Caenorhabditis elegans: one gene and its partner. The protein of the gene in region 1 interacts with the protein of each later gene in a pairwise test. Each region holds a gene or a part of one and is shown on either strand. Other genes may lie near its edges.

Region 1 (8,767 bases):
CAGAAAACGTGAATTTTTAGAGCTTTCAGAGATTGAAATACATGGAAATTCACTGGAAATTGGCGTTTTACAATGCAAAAAACCGAATATTTTTCGAAATTTCAATGATTTTCGAGGTTTAAAAGTGTGCTAAATTGGGATTTTCAGTCCAAAAAACCGGAAATTTTGAGCTTTTGCGCTGATTTTTTTGCTGAAAACTGAATTAAAAATGAGTTTTGAAACAGAAAAATTCGCTTTTTAGGTTAAAAATGTCCATTTTTCAGATAATGTTTCTCCAAAAATAAGAATTTGCCGGTTTCCAGAAAAATTTTCGTCACGAACCAGTACCATTTTTACTGAAATTTAGGCGATTTTAGCGGATTTTTAGTGAAGAAAACGTGAATTTTGAGATTTCAGAGACTGAAAATCGTGGAAATTTGGTCAAAAACTGATTGTTTTTGAAATTTTTAATGTTTTTTGAGATTGAAAAGAGCAAAATTTGGATTTTCTGTGCAAAAACGGCAAATTTTCAGCTTTTGCACATAATTTTTTGCCGTTAACCGGATTGAAATGAGTTTTGAAACAGAAAAATTCGCGTTTTCGGTTTGAAAAAGTCAATTTTTCCGATTTTTTTCCCTGAAATGAGAATTTGCCAGTTTCCAGCAAATTTTTACAAAAAAAAAAAATAAAATTCAGGCTTAAAAACCAATGAAAAGCTCAAATTTCAAAGCAAAAAAAAAAATCAAAAAAATTATTTTTTTTTTGGAATAAAAACGACGGATATATAAAAAAGTTTAACAATGATGGGAATAATTGGAACAAAAAAAATAACGAAAAACAATGTAAAAACAACAAAAAAGGGGCAAAAAATAGAATAAAATCAACGAAAAATTGGTGAATTTCAGGCGAATTTGGATATTTTTCGTCGAAAAATTAAAAAAAAAAGCCAAATTTTGAGGAAAATGAGCCTATTGTTGCTTGGCCAACATCTTCTTTCGACGATTTTTCACCGATTTTGCTCCGGTACGGGCGGCCGCACGTTTTGGCACTTTTGACTTGAATTGGGTCGGTTTTTTGGCGCGTTTCACGTTTCCAACCTGCAAAAAATAATATTTTTATATGGAAATTTGGCATTTTTTAAAGCTTTTCAGTGAGAAAATGGCTCGAATTTAGGATTTTAAAAGTAAAATCTACGAATTTTTGGGTTTTTTCGGCTGAAAAAAGCCTCAAAAACTGATTTTTCTGAAATCTAGTCCGTACCGTATTGAAACCGTCATCCTCCTTGACAGCGGCCTGCTTCTCGGCTGCCTTCTTCTGATTACGACGCTTCTTGTTCGCACGAGCTCCGGAGCCAATGTTTTTCACTGAAAAATGGAGGATTTTGATGGTTTTTAAGTAAGAAAATTGCTATTTTTTCCATTTTTTCCAGTAAAAACATTGGAAAATATAATTTTGAGTTATTTTTAGCTTCTGATTTAAAATATTAGCAATTTCTGGTAAATTTTCTTCAGTTTTTCATAATTTTGGCTCAAAAAAAGCAGATTTTCAGCTAATTTCCTCAAATTTCTACGCACTTGGAGCATTATTATCATCATCCGAGTCATCACCATCGGCTTTTTGCTTCTTTTGCTGCTGCTTTTTCGCTGGCTTCTTCTGTCCATTAACCTCTACACCATTCTTCTTCTCCTCTTCATCATCTGAAGACTCAGAAGCCTCAGCTTCAGCCTTATTCTTCTTGTTCTGCGATTTTTGGGCGGCCTTTTCCTTTTCTTTCTGAAAAACTGACATAAATTAGGGGCTAATATCTTGGAAATTTCACGAAAACACAGAATTTTGTCGAAGCTCCGTGATTTAAGAAGATTCTTACATCAAAATAATTCATTTTCTGATAAAATTTGTTAAAATTCAGGATTTAATTAATTTTTAGTGATTTTTCCACACGAAAATTGTAAATTTTTCAGCTTTTCTAATGTAAAAAGGTTAAATTTTCGATAGTTTCGATGAAAAAAAAAAACGCAGAAAAATTGAGTTTAGGGCTGAGAAATGGGACATTTTAACAGTAAATTCATGAAAATTGAGCGATTTTGATCAAAAATTGGAGAAAAAGTGGTAATTTTACATCAAAATCGTGAAATTTGACGATTTTGAGACAAAAATAGTGGAAAATAAGCTATTTTCGATTAGGAATTCTGGAAAATGGGCAATTTTGAGTTGAAATTTGTAAAAATTGAGAAATTTTAAGCTTAAATTAGTCTTGCGGACCAAATTTCATCAAAACCACTTTGGTCTGCTAAATCGAAATTTGTAGTTTGTAGTCTAGCAGACCAAAAACTTTGGGTCTGCTAAACCAAAACTTGTAGTTTGTAGTCTAGCAGACCAAAAACTTTGGGTCTGCTAAACCAAAACTTGTAGTTTGTAGTCTAGCAGACCAATTTTTGGTAGTTTTTTCGGGATTTTCTTCATTTTTAATGGATTTTCCGTCAATTTTTCCAATTTTCTCCGCATTTTTTTACCTCCATGACACCCTGCTTGCTCATTTTCGCATTAGACAACTTCTTGATCTTTGCCACGTAGAATCCATCAATATTATGAACATGTGGATAATAGCGTTTAGTCATTGAAAGTGACGGATGGAAACGATAATCACGGAATCGTGTATATCCATCCACACCAATCGATAATCCAGTTGGAACAAGTTCACAGTGACGACGTTCCAGAAGGAAATTGACGACGGCTTCGTTTTCCTCGACGAGTACAGAGCACGTGGAGTACACGAGATATCCTGGAAAATTAGATTTAAAATTGGAAAAACGGGGGTTTTCAATATTTTCGGAGCAAAATTATGCTCTTTGAGAGCGATTTTTCAGTTTTTAAAATATAAATCACAAAAACATTGAAAAATTCGATAAGTTTAGTGCAAAAATCAAGAAATGTTCGATTTCAACGTTATTTCGCTATTCCAGAGCCGATTTTTATAGTTTTTGTTCTGTAGATTTTCCCGCAATTTTATCATTTTCAGGAGAAATTGCACATTGAAATAGTTTTTAGTGCAAAAATTGAGAATTTCTCGGTTTCTAGAGAAAAAATGTGGCTTTTAGAAAAACAATTTCAATCTTGGACGCTTTTTCGCTATTCTGGGTCCTATTTTCGTGATTTTTGCAAATTTCCGCACCTCCATTCGGAGAATTAGCGTCCAACGAGTCCAAAGCAGAGAGAATCAGCTGTCTTTGCATAGTATGACGTCTCTGAACATCCTGTGAATCTTTGGATGTTTTAACCGATTGATCCTTCCAAATAACTCCAGTTCCAGAGCATGGTGCATCCAAAAGAATACGATCAAAACCATTCGGACGGATTTTCGAGAACTCTTCTCCTCCCAGATTACAAACGACGGTATTGTTGACTCCGAGGCGATGGAGATTTCCAATGATAGCACGGCAACGGGTGAACTGGAAAAATAAAGTTTTCGGGAGATTTTTGATGAAAAATCAATTTTTTTCGGATGAAAATTGAATTTTTAGGAATTTCCCAATGAAAACCAGGCAACTTTTGATAGTTTTTCGTTCGAAAATGTCAAATTTTCTACTTTTTAGATTGAAAATTGTAATATTTCAGCCTTATCTATTTTCATCAATTTTTCACGTACATTCGCGTCGTTAGCGAACAAAACTCCGCTATTCTTCATAAGAGCAGCAATATGACTGGTTTTTCCTCCAGGAGCAGAACACATATCCAATACACGATCTCCTGGTTGTGGAGCCAAGGCCATCACTGGCAGCAGTGAATTGAGTCCTTGAATCATATAATGTCCGGCCAAGTATTCGGGAGTTGCTCCAACTGGGACCTGAGAATCATAGACAACGAGTCCAACTTTAGTCCAATCGGCGGCTGGATCCACGTTCATTCCACGGTTGATGAGGTTCTTAGCGAGGTCACGACTGAAAAATGGAAATTGTTAGCTTAAAAATATGAAAATTGAGCGATTTTGACAACAAATTGGTGAAAAACGAGTAATTTTTAGTTCAAAAGTAATAAAAAAGACCAGTTTTTAGTCCAAATGAGTAGAAATTAAACGATTTTAAATAATACAATAGTGAAAACTGGCGATTTTGGGACCAAAATTATGGAAAATGAGCTGTTTTAGATCAGAACTAAAGACAGTGGGCAATTTTGAGTTGAAATTCGTGAAAAATCAGCACTTTTAAGTCTAAATTAGTCTAACAGACCGAATTTCAGACCCAATCTATTCAAAATCACGTGGGTCTGCTAAATCGGAATTTGTAGTTTGTAGTCTAGCAGACCCAATCTATTCACAATCACGTGGGTCTGCTAAATCGAAATTTGTAGTTTGTAGTCTAGCAGACCCAATTTATTCAAAATCACTTGGGTCTGCTAAATCGAAATTTGTAGTTTGTAGTCTAGCAGACCCAATCTGATCAATACTATTTTTCAAGATGAGGACATGGAAATTTTATCACTTTCCAGTTGAAAATCGCGGAAAATAATTTTTAGCTGAAAATCTTCAAAATTGAATAGCTTTGCATTATTTTTTATGTCCAAAACTTCAATTTTATGTGACTATTTATGCCGAGAAATCCAAAAACCTCCAAATTTTACCGTTTAACCTTGAGCGAGTTGGCTCTAATGGTTACTGGTCTCGGATTGTCGTTAGCCTCCAAAAACTCCAATAGCTCCGCTCCATTTGGGAATAAATCCATGAATTTTCCCATTAAATAGTCATTGTATCCATACTGTGAGCATAGATCCTTCTTCAGCACTTCTACATAGTTTTCACGCGATTTCTGTGGATCTCGGCGATTCTTGAAGTCTCCAAGAACCTGGATGACGTCGGCAATACGCTGCTTCACAATTTCCAAGTTTGGCACGGATTTCATCTCATTTTCAATCTCCTCGACGGTTGGAAGCTCGAAAGTCGCTTGATTTGCGATGTTTAGCTGCAACTCTTCCTCTCCTTCAGCGATAATCTTCTCCTTCTGCTTGTCGAGAGCCGCGGATTTTTTCTCGATTGGCAGATGATCTCCGGCGTCGGAATCTGGAAAAAAATTTTAATTTCAGGGTTTTCAGATGTTCCCCCATACCATCATCGGAATAGTCATCTCTGAGATCTTCATCGTCACTTCCTGGGAAGCTGAGACCTTCCAGGCCGTCCTCGTCATCGTCGATAAGCTGCAGCTTCTCGACCTGCTCGATTGGTTCCTCCTCATGAGCCTTTTTCGCCGATTTCTTCACCTTTTTCACTAGCTTCTTCTTCTTTGGAGTCACTGCCTCGGTTTCCTAAAAAATTGGAGCTTCGTCGTGAATGTTTAGTGCAAAAACTCACTGCAACAGGTCTTTTAACGGCTTTCTTAACTTCTGGCTTCTCTGTAGCAGCTTTTGAGGCAGCGGACACCTTCTTCTTCTTGACAATTGCCATTTTACCTGAAAAATACTTCTTAAAGTTTGAAAAAAACGCAGAAAATAGTGACAGAATGGCGAGAAAAGTGAAAACCCCAATTCCTCCGCTTGAGACTGATTTTTACAATGTTTTACTGGTTTTATGCAAGTTTTAACTTCAAAATTTAATTTTTCACATATTTTCAAAATAAAACACCACAAAAAACTGACGAAAAGCAACGGAAAAGCCGAAAAATCGATCGCCTAAATTCGAAAGAAATTGCATTGAAAATTGCACAGGCGTGCGGTAGAGCGCGCTTGCCGACGATGGCCGTGTGGGGGTTTCTAGACCGCGAACTCTGGCTGATGCCTCAAAGGCTGATGGCGGCTTCACGTCGAAGAAGGAATTGCCACTCGTCGTGACTAAAGAAGAAACAGCGCCGACAATAGCCAAAACAGATGCAGGAAATGCAGAATCCACAGTTACAGAAGTCAAAAAATATGCGTTAACAATATAACACGTATTTGGAGCTCGAACAACGCTGACATGCCAAAATGTATTGGTAGGGAAGTTTTTGAAAGAAAAAGAGTGTGAATATATGTCAATTAACTTTATGCTCGGCAATTTTGACAATTGCCAAAAATATCAGCGTTTGGCAATGTCCGTCGTTGCCAAGCGTCAAACATTTTTGCGATTCGAGAAACAACGCCCGAATAGTAAATTATTTTATTGTAATATTTCAGAGTCGAGGCATTCAAACTGGCAATTGCTTCTGTTCTAGCCTTGTTTGGATATCTAAGCCAACTCCTTCTCTGTGTTCTGGCTATTTCAGTAATTTGTACAGAGGATGCAAAGACATTGAAAGACGAATTAGTTTGGGGACTGCTTATCAAGGATTGGTTGTTCAGATTGAAAATTGTTGCTGCAGGGACAATTATTGTTACGACCATAGTGGCGGTCTTCCTGTTATCTTCGCTATACCGCCTGTATTAAAAAGAAAAAAAAGCTGAAGCTAACGCACCAATTATTAAAACAAAAGTGAGTGAAACGAGTACAATTGGAATTTATTTCTAAATTTTAAAAATCTGCAATTTTCTGCTCTATTTTTGGAAATATAATTTTTAGAGTTGCTGCTCAATTTGTGAAAAAGTTTTCGCTGGAACTCGCATTCATTCCGTGGATGTTAATTTTATTAGCTTCCGTCACGCTGATAAAAGGTAAAAATTAAAGTTAAAACTGTATTTTAAGCTATTTTGCAGGAGAACCGAAATGGGATGATTACCAGAAAAGGGTGTTCAATTTCTGCTCACTCTCAATATTCTCTTTTGTTGCGTCGACATCGTTTTTCTCGCTGAGTTAGTTTCTAGTTACTTATTTTGACCAAGAAATACAATGAGGAAAACTATTACCTATATTCCGCAGATTATAACCTTTTGACCAGTTTTGCGATGTTACTTAGGATAGCTATCTCAAAATTTTCAGAATGTCATTCTCCAAAACATTATTCAAACAGTGAATTATGGGTTCTTCTCATTTTGTGGATTGTTTGCGCGTTATTTCTATGGGCACCTTCTTTTCTCGGAATATATGTACACGTTAGTACAATCGTGTCTCGTATGTTGATATATTTTTCATGAAAAATACAACAAAATTTCTTCTTCAGCCCAACTCGCGTTTTCGTTACAATTCTCCGTTGTCCGATTCGGTTTCTTAAAAAACTCGCTCAATAAAGTAATGTAAGTCATTTTTCATTTGTAACAGTTTAAGAAATTCTTCATATTCAAAGAATATGGACTGCGAAAGCCAAACTCTTATTTTTTACATTTCAGATTGATTTCTAACGTACCATCAAATCCCACACAAAATCAGACTGCCCCACCTGCCATTGAATTGAACTAGAATTTTAAAAAGAAATGTATTTTTTGTATTGAAATGTATGTGAATAAAGTGCGTTTTCATGCTCATTCTCCCGCTTTAGGAAATTTAACTTTTCTGGCATCGGTCCGACTTGCTTCTGGAAATTGGAAATGGGCAGAGGGAGCTAATATTGTTGGTTCAAATTATTTGACATTGACCTTGTCATTTTTGAATCTTGCCTACCTGCCTGCCTGCGTACCTTGCTTGTTTTCCCCATGTCTGTTTAAACATGTTTTTGACCCTATAAAAAAAGATAAAACTGTCAGAACAAAGAGCAAGCCGGACGATGACAATTTAGTACTTGTCTGCGTCATACCAGTGAGTCTACCGTGTAGGCGTGTAGGCGTTTGTAGGCATCGAAGAAAAAGACAGCCATAGCCTAGAAAAATCATAACTGTCAACTAAAAGCAATTTTAAATCGCTTCATTGTACTTTTTCTAGAAATGTAAAGTTTCGATACAAGAAACTCCTTTAAAATATACAGTGTGGGAAAGTTCTATAGGACCCCCCCTAATTTGAAGGTTTGAGGAACTTCCGAAAATTTTTTCGAAAAACTGCTAATGCCGTTCGTTTTTAAATTGAAAAAAACCTATATACATTTTTTTCCAGAAGTTTATCTCAAAAACTGAGGTCGCGCTGGAAAAAACGTCAAAATCCAGTGTGAAACTTCTATAGGACCCCCCGTTTTTTTTCACGATTTTTACTAAAATCAACAGATTTTGGAATTTTTGACAAAGCTCAAATCAAGTTTGAGTTAGAAATGAGTTCATATAAGCAGTTTTGACTTTAAAAATTAATACGAAATGTTCTCGTGGGATCTCCAGACTGGTTCTGATTCTTCCGATCTTTGATGTTCAAGTCTGTTTCAAGCTTCCTGGTGCTCTCGGTAATGCCAAAACTTGATAAACTCTCTTTAACAAGTTCCTACTAAAATTCCTAGCACGCACTTTAGATGTTTCGACTGTGTAGTCAAGCTGATTTGGCAAAATATGCAGCAGGAAACAATGGAAGGCTTATCAGGAATCAAATCGTTTTTCTTTGATTACAAGGTTCCATGGGACCAATATTTCAAGTTAAATTGTCCCTCACAGATGTTATTTACTATTTTTTGCGTGAATTATTAAATGTGGAATTGTGGCATGTGTTGTGGCACACATATAGAGGCTGGAAAGCTTACTTCGAAAGCAGTCTAACTTGCAATGCCTCGAGGATCTGCCCTTTCGGACACTGAACGCGCTCAGCTGGATGTTATGAAATTGCTCAATGTGTCCCTGCATGAAATGAGTAGGAAAATTTCCCGTTCTCGACACTGTATTCGCGTGTATCTGAAGGATCCGGTGAGCTACGGTACATCTAAAAGAGCTCCTCGTCGCAAAGCTCTCTCCGTGCGTGACGAACGAAATGTGATTCGTGCTGCCTCCAACTCCTGTAAGACGGCAAGAGATATTCGCAATGAGCTTCAATTGTCTGCTTCAA
Region 2 (6,705 bases), on another chromosome or scaffold:
CTATTACCGAACATTTTTGACAAATCTAAAAATGTTTGGGTTGTTGTTGATTATATAAAATTGACTATATGTATTGACCATTGACACATTGTCTATATCTTCCAAAAAATTCAATTTCTGATAGTAAAAATTACTTTTTAAAAAATTCCTAACCTGATTGTCGTGTGCAAAATAAATCAAATCAACAAGTAGAACATCACACGTTTGACACCGAAAACACGATGGATGATATCTTTTTCCAGTTCTTGCAGCCATCACACTGATTTCTCCTTCTTCAAGACGTTTTGGACACTGAAAATTTACATATTCTAGTCGTGTTTTCAAAATTTGTTGAATAATTGAATAATCCTGATTACTCCAGAACGAGTTAATTTGTAATTTGTGTCTCAATTTCATTTTCATTTTCTCATTGAAATCCGGAGAGATGATAAAGATCTAAAATCCAACATCTTCCAAATGAGATGTGCCATTCAAATTCATCTTCAAATCTCAATCTGTCACATACAATTTGTTCACATTTTGTTGCGTTTTCGCTATGCAAAATCTGGCGAAAAGAAATGCATTAACAACATGTAGTACAAGATATTTTTCACTGTTTCAGAAACAAATAAAATTAATCGTCCAAATTCTTCATTTTATTGTTAGGACAGTCTCCACAAAATATACTCCCCGCCGTCTCGAGCAGGTGTTTTTAATGAAAGCAAAAAAGTATTTATATGGACTAGATTACAAGATAAGTAGCAACATTATACGGTCAAGTGCATCCTCCAGCCGGTGGTTCAGTTTCTCCATGTGTTTCTATAGTTATGTAAATACAAGATGGTATGCCCCTACTGCTACCCTCTTGACCGTCTTAGAATCTTTGTTGGTAGTTGTAATTTAAATTTATTTTTAAGAATCAAATATTTAAATTCTCAGTTGTTTAAAGTGTGCACATTGTGAATTTTCTCTTCTGTTATAAGTTAAGTAACCTCCGCATTAACAACAGACATGTACAACCATAAGTTGATAAGACCTCGCGTCTAATCTGACAACCAGACACCTAAAATTTTGAAATGGATTAGGCAACAGACACCTCTAAACAGAAAAACGTGACAGGGTAATCCTAGGGAAAAACTGCCTGTCTTCTGCCTACGCCTGGGAGGCACGTAGAAAGGTAGTGAAGACGTACCTACCTATTTCACAACTTCAATACTTTTGTTTTCCAAGTTCTTGTACTCAGCTAATCCTCAATATTCGGCGATAATTACTTGTAAACTATCAACAACTAACAAGTACCCTTGACACGCACACGGGTAACAATTGGAACTGACACATCCAATTCAGAAAACAACATGACACTGCCTGAATTGTCTACAAAAGGCAGATGTTCCCATGTCTCCTAATTCAGGTCTTCAAACCAGATACTTGGAGGGGCAACCAACTGGGCGAAGGGTATCAAATGCGCGAAAACCCCTGACTATGAGAGGGATCCTCTAAGAAAAGTGATTGATGACATGGTAACATGGCACCCAGGAAGACCATCTGTTCGGCACTTCCCTTCCAAAAATATACTGTTTCTTTCACCCTATAATTGACTTCTTGCTTTCCTTCTCATTTTCCTTGTTAATCTTGTTATGAGTAGTGTTTAGATCAAAACGCCCCGCGCGCGCATATCGGAAGAAGCTTTGTTTGATCTACCTACCATCTACCCATGACCGGATTAGATTAACACTGAGACGGCTCTAATCAGATTATAACTCAATGAACAAACTAAAGAGAACGAGCAGAAGGAGCGGAAATTGAGTATATTACTGTACATAACATTTACATTTACTAACTTAAGCTAGACCCCTAGCAACCCTTGGAAATTCAAAAGCAAAAATTCTAAATTCCTAAAACGAAAATCCAAGCTAACCCCAACAATGAGCCCCGTTGTCTCTCCTATTAATAAACATGTAACGATGCATAGGTAATTAGCAGTGACTGCTGCTGCTCAGCTTCTCCTCTGACAAACAGCCGGAGCTTCGTAGTAAAAGAAAGATGGATGAACATTGACAATAATTGCATATTGTCTATGACTCTATCTCTGTTTCTCTATTTCTCTCCAATATTTAGATGTTGCAATAATAATTGCAGACAGTCGGTTGCCATTGAATGAAATTATCGTCAGTGGAGATTTATTCGAAATCCACTTATTATAACACAAAAAACCACATATCATAATTTAAATACTTCAAAAATGTTCAGTTTTTTCAAAGTTTCAGTTAAAGTATGGGTGTATTGTTTCAAAAAATGTTAAAATTTAAAAAAATAAATTTTGAGCATAGTTTCGTACTACTAGAATGTTTAAATAGCAGGTTCGTACAACTAAAATGTTTAAATACAAACGATTAAAACGAAATTGGAAACTCGTAGAAAGTATTTTTGAACGCCTTCCAAAATTATAGTAATGAAAAATGAGTTTTTCCCACTTTTTGACTGTATGTAAAATAAAATCAAAAATTTATTTGAACATTTTAACACTATACATAGAAGCTTTTTTTACGGTACTGACGATACCTTCAAAAACGATATCAGAAAATTAAAAAAAAAAGGTTTATTTTTCGACGAATTTTCATGATTCCATTTGTCCCTTTCAAGTTGCTGCAACTATTCTCATGCCGTACAAAAATCTAACACCTAAGCAGCTGGCTTCCCCCATCGAGGTCAACAACCTCTTCTTCTCATTCTTCAGAACTTTTTTGCCGCACTCTCGTAAGTGGGACTATCCGAGAGCAGACGGCCCTCGCCGTTGTTAATGAGCATGACCTTTCTCAAATTTCCGTCATTGTTTATTCTCAAGTGTAAGACAGTGCCTACACGTTGGGAATGCAAAGGCAAAAAGCCGCCCGACAAAAAAGAAGCCGTGAAGATGATGATGAGGAGCATCCCAGCATAAGCATAGATGATGGTGCGCGGAAAGAGAGCGCTCGCGCATAAAGATTTATGAGTTTTGGGGATGGTGCGGAAAGACGAAAAAGAAAATGTTGTTTATGGTTTCATACGCCACAGTTTGGCAAGATTTACGGTTGTGCTCAAATGGGTCGAATGTCATAATAAGGCCGGGTGACGATTTTTCAATAAAACCAAACAAATTTTGATGGAAAATACTAACCTTTTCACATTTTGTATCAAATGGAGCATATTGAACAACACCACTTCCCAGGCATTCAGTTTTTCGAGTTCTTTCAAACATTCGCAATGTATCCGCTTCTTCTGCATTTAAATCTTCACAATATCTAACATCAGAATCCTGTGGTGGTAGTTGATAACGTGATTGACGTTGTCGCCATTTTTCTCCAGCTGATCCAATGAATGGTACCTTGTTTTCCGGGAGACAGGCGAAGTAGGCATGAACCTGTAAGAATTTGAATTTGAATTTGAATTTGAATCAGTATTTGAAGTGCACAAAAAACCATCTGTTTTGAACGGTCCACAGGTTGTGAACATTTTAATTGGTCTAGGTTTTGGTGTTCAAAAACCTAATTCAATTGTTCTTTATTGCACACGAGATCATTCAAAATCTCTATACTTACCATATTCGGCTTCAGACCACTAGGCACCCATGCATACTCGTCCAAAGCACATCCACTGTCATCATCAGATGTTGAATGCCTGTGAGCATCAGCTGCAATTCGGATTCTCGAAGCAGGCGATAGACCACCTTGAGCTCGACGTGATGAGATGAGCTGCGGTGCGAATTGCTCCGATGCTTCGAGACGACGACGGCGAATTCGTTCGCTCATCTGAAATAGGGACTATGAATTGAAAATAACACATTTTCATAAGAGAATGGCAAATTATACGATAAAGTTGAGGTTGACTTGGAAAAAAAGAAAAATAGTGTATGCAAAATCACTTCAAAAAAGCCTCCAAAAAAGGGTGTGTTAAGTGTTAAGTGTGAAAAGAAGACCAGTCCCTCTCTATAACCTTTTTGCTGCCATATAAAAATGTCAATCACTTTGGCAACACCATCACCATCATCCACAAAACTAGACCGGTCTCTCCATTGCCCCGTAAATCCCCACGACGACATCTGACCGTTTCATTTCTCATTTCACTGCAGAAAAGGACATCGTCTTCTTCGTAATGTTGATTCAATTAGAGAAAAAGATTCCGAAATCTTCAACTAGAAGACGACGTCCCGTTGAAGAATGAAAAATAGTAAAGAATCGGGAGACGTGTGTTTATGCTAATTTGATATGGCCTTGTAATAGAGGAATGACTGTTTGCCGTCGCGCACGCCGCCCCGTTTTGTCTCTGTCATTATACTGGTAATAACGGAAAAGTGACGGTAACTAATGGATTAATAGGAACATCTCAAAGGAAGAACTTTAAGATCTCAACGAATCTAAAGTTTTACTGTTGATTCCGACTTTGCGGTAGTGTGTTCGCAAAAAAGTAATAAAAGTAACAAAATTTACCATGATAGTTCCTGTGCATTTTAGAATGTGAAAATTACATACGCTTCATAATTTATATTTGAAGCATTATTCTATTATAGAGATTGTGGCAAGATCCATCAAGAGGAGTAGAAGACACCTTTAAAGTCTCACGTCATGTTTTCACAAACTCTCGGTACTTGAGGATATTTTTATAAACTATTTTCTAGGTCCTTTGGAAGTATTAGTGTTTTCACAAAATTTTATTACTGTTTCAAGGTGGCCATAAATTGCGAGGGTAATGTTTTTGAGTAATTACAACTGTTATTTGTTGTTAAGGAAAAAATTGCTGGCACAATCTTTTGAGAAAAATAAAATGAGAAAAACGAGCCATGAAAAAACTATTTCGAATATTCAAGTAACTCGAGCTTTTGTGAGAGCGGAGAAAAATTATTGTAAGAAAATATAAATGTGTGTTGGAAAAAATATAGGAAGGCGTAGAATGCCTAGTTTGAAAATTTCTGTAAAGATGAAAATGATTTCTGCTCAAGCTCTTGTAGCAGTTCTGAAATTGCCATCACTTCACGATTTCAATATTGAACGCAACAACACCCTGTACTACCAGAACACCAGAATGTGTATAGCGTACAAAAAATGACTCATTTTGCGGTAAGAATGAAATTGTGAAAATTGAAAACTTAAAACAAAAGTGAAACTAATGTGGAGGGCGTTGACCGGAACCGCATGGAATATCTCCCATCAGAACCCAAAAGCTACAAGGATCCTCCCACATCAACTAGAAGGGTGAGACGCAGACCGAGAAGCAGTATTTTGAGGGCGGGGTTAACAGTCTTACCGCATGTGTTTATGTACCCCTCATCTCGGCCAGGAAGGGTCTATATATGTGTGTGTGTCTATGGGTGACAGGTGTTATGATACATCGGTACTAAAGATGTTATCGGTTAGAGATTGGAAGTCCCTGGAGGGTATTGGAGTTGGTTTTAATCTAATAGAGGTGAATAGAGTTGCGGTAGATCAAAAGTTGAGGGCTCTTTTTCAAGTCTTAGATGTAATGATTAGATTACTATTTAATTATGAACTCTTATAAGATACTAAGATACTAATTATGAACTCTAATTTCCGCTCTCAAGCCTGCTCCAACAGAATTTCAACGCCTATTAAAACGGTAATAATTCCAAGAAGAAGACCGCACAAAAAAGCGACGCATTGAGGACAGGGGCGCAATGGTGAGGACCGAACGAGAAAAGACAATAAATCGTTTTTGACACTTTTTTGCGTCGGTGCCCTATGATGCGCATGTGTGAGTGAGACGAGAGACAGACACCTCACATCACGGAAGACAGCCGGTGATGGTGATGATGGTGCATGAGAAGGGGATGAGGAGGAGAAGGTTCATTAACAGAATGCATATCATGATATCAGAATGTCAAACGTTTGCCCGAAAAAGATACCATTGGCCCAGAAGTTGCCAAAGCTTGGGCCGAACTTGGGTAAGATTTGAGCGAAAATCGGTTGAGGCCGCACTGAAGTTTAAAAAAAAACCAAGTTTGGCAAATCCCCTTGAATGCTAATATTTTTGTAAATAATATATTAACGTTTCAAATTGTGTTGCATCCACCGTTTGGAAATTTTGGTTGTTTCTCATATTTTTATTATAGTTTCAAGGTGGCCATAAACTACTTGAGAATTTTTTTGAGTATTGAATAATCAATACTAGCAAACGTTTGGCAAAGAGTTGAAATGCCGAGATTATTTTTGAAAACAAGGTCTATGAAAGTTGAATTAAAAAACGTTCTAAAGTGTTGGAAAAAGTGGTTGGTATATTGCGATGCAAGACTGTTAGAGGGTATGAACGGAAAATATCGACAATGGCCTGAAAATTCAAAATACGATTTCAGTTTACTAAACTCTATTCTGAAAGTGAATAGTTTTCAAAGGTTATGTTAAAACTTACATTTGAACACTTTTAATTACTCAAAAGAATTACCCTCGCCATTTATGGACACCTTGAAACAGTAATAAAATTTGGAGAAAACACCAACACTTCCAAATGACCTAGAAAACTTTCCCGTCTTTCTTTTTTTGTGGTTCCCATCATAGTTTTCACCTCGTGTTTCGTTCAACCGAACAAAGATTAGAATGTGAAAAAATGAAGGAATGGAAGTTGGTGCGCGATGACCGTTAAAATACATTTGATGTGAACTTCAATTTCACATTTCACGGTTACTGTCACCAAATCGAGAATAACTGGGAAAAGGGATGAGTGTATATTACATTTTTG

Evidence for each region. Proteins that work in one complex are often made in the same cells at the same time.
Region 2: the proteins of nsun-1 (region 1) and prkl-1 interact in a two-hybrid assay, tested with the Caenorhabditis elegans proteins (one large-scale study listed by BioGRID).

The regions. Positions count from the first base shown.
Region 1 is NC_003280.10:470,523-479,289, forward strand, and holds nsun-1 (26S rRNA (cytosine-C(5))-methyltransferase nsun-1), read right to left. Parts: upstream 5,419-8,767; 5' UTR 5,414-5,418; coding exon 5,321-5,413; exon of another isoform or gene 5,275-5,320; coding exon 5,079-5,274; exon of another isoform or gene 5,033-5,078; coding exon 4,597-5,032; exon of another isoform or gene 3,918-4,596; coding exon 3,626-3,917; exon of another isoform or gene 3,429-3,625; coding exon 3,152-3,428; exon of another isoform or gene 2,981-3,151; intron 2,762-2,980; coding exon 2,493-2,761; intron 1,753-2,492; coding exon 1,554-1,752; intron 1,344-1,553; coding exon 1,240-1,343; intron 1,077-1,239; coding exon 948-1,076; 3' UTR 740-947; downstream 1-739. Other genes in the region: W07E6.5 (G_PROTEIN_RECEP_F2_4 domain-containing protein), read left to right, coding at 6,555-6,591, 6,634-6,729, 6,857-6,988, 7,038-7,110, 7,204-7,273. UniProt on the Caenorhabditis elegans protein: Methyltransferase which methylates the carbon-5 position of cytosine 2982 to 5-methylcytosine (m5C2982) in 26S rRNA. May play a role in the translation of leucine and proline codons.
Region 2 is NC_003282.8:6,983,169-6,989,873, forward strand, and holds the start of prkl-1 (LIM zinc-binding domain-containing protein), read right to left. Parts: upstream 3,768-6,705; coding exon 3,558-3,767; intron 3,380-3,557; coding exon 3,137-3,379; intron 3,042-3,136; exon of another isoform or gene 2,608-3,041; intron 2,167-2,607; exon of another isoform or gene 2,015-2,166; intron 1,742-2,014; exon of another isoform or gene 1,588-1,741; intron 1,380-1,587; exon of another isoform or gene 1,029-1,379; intron 904-1,028; exon of another isoform or gene 556-903; intron 403-555; coding exon of another isoform or gene 292-402; coding exon 154-291; intron 1-153.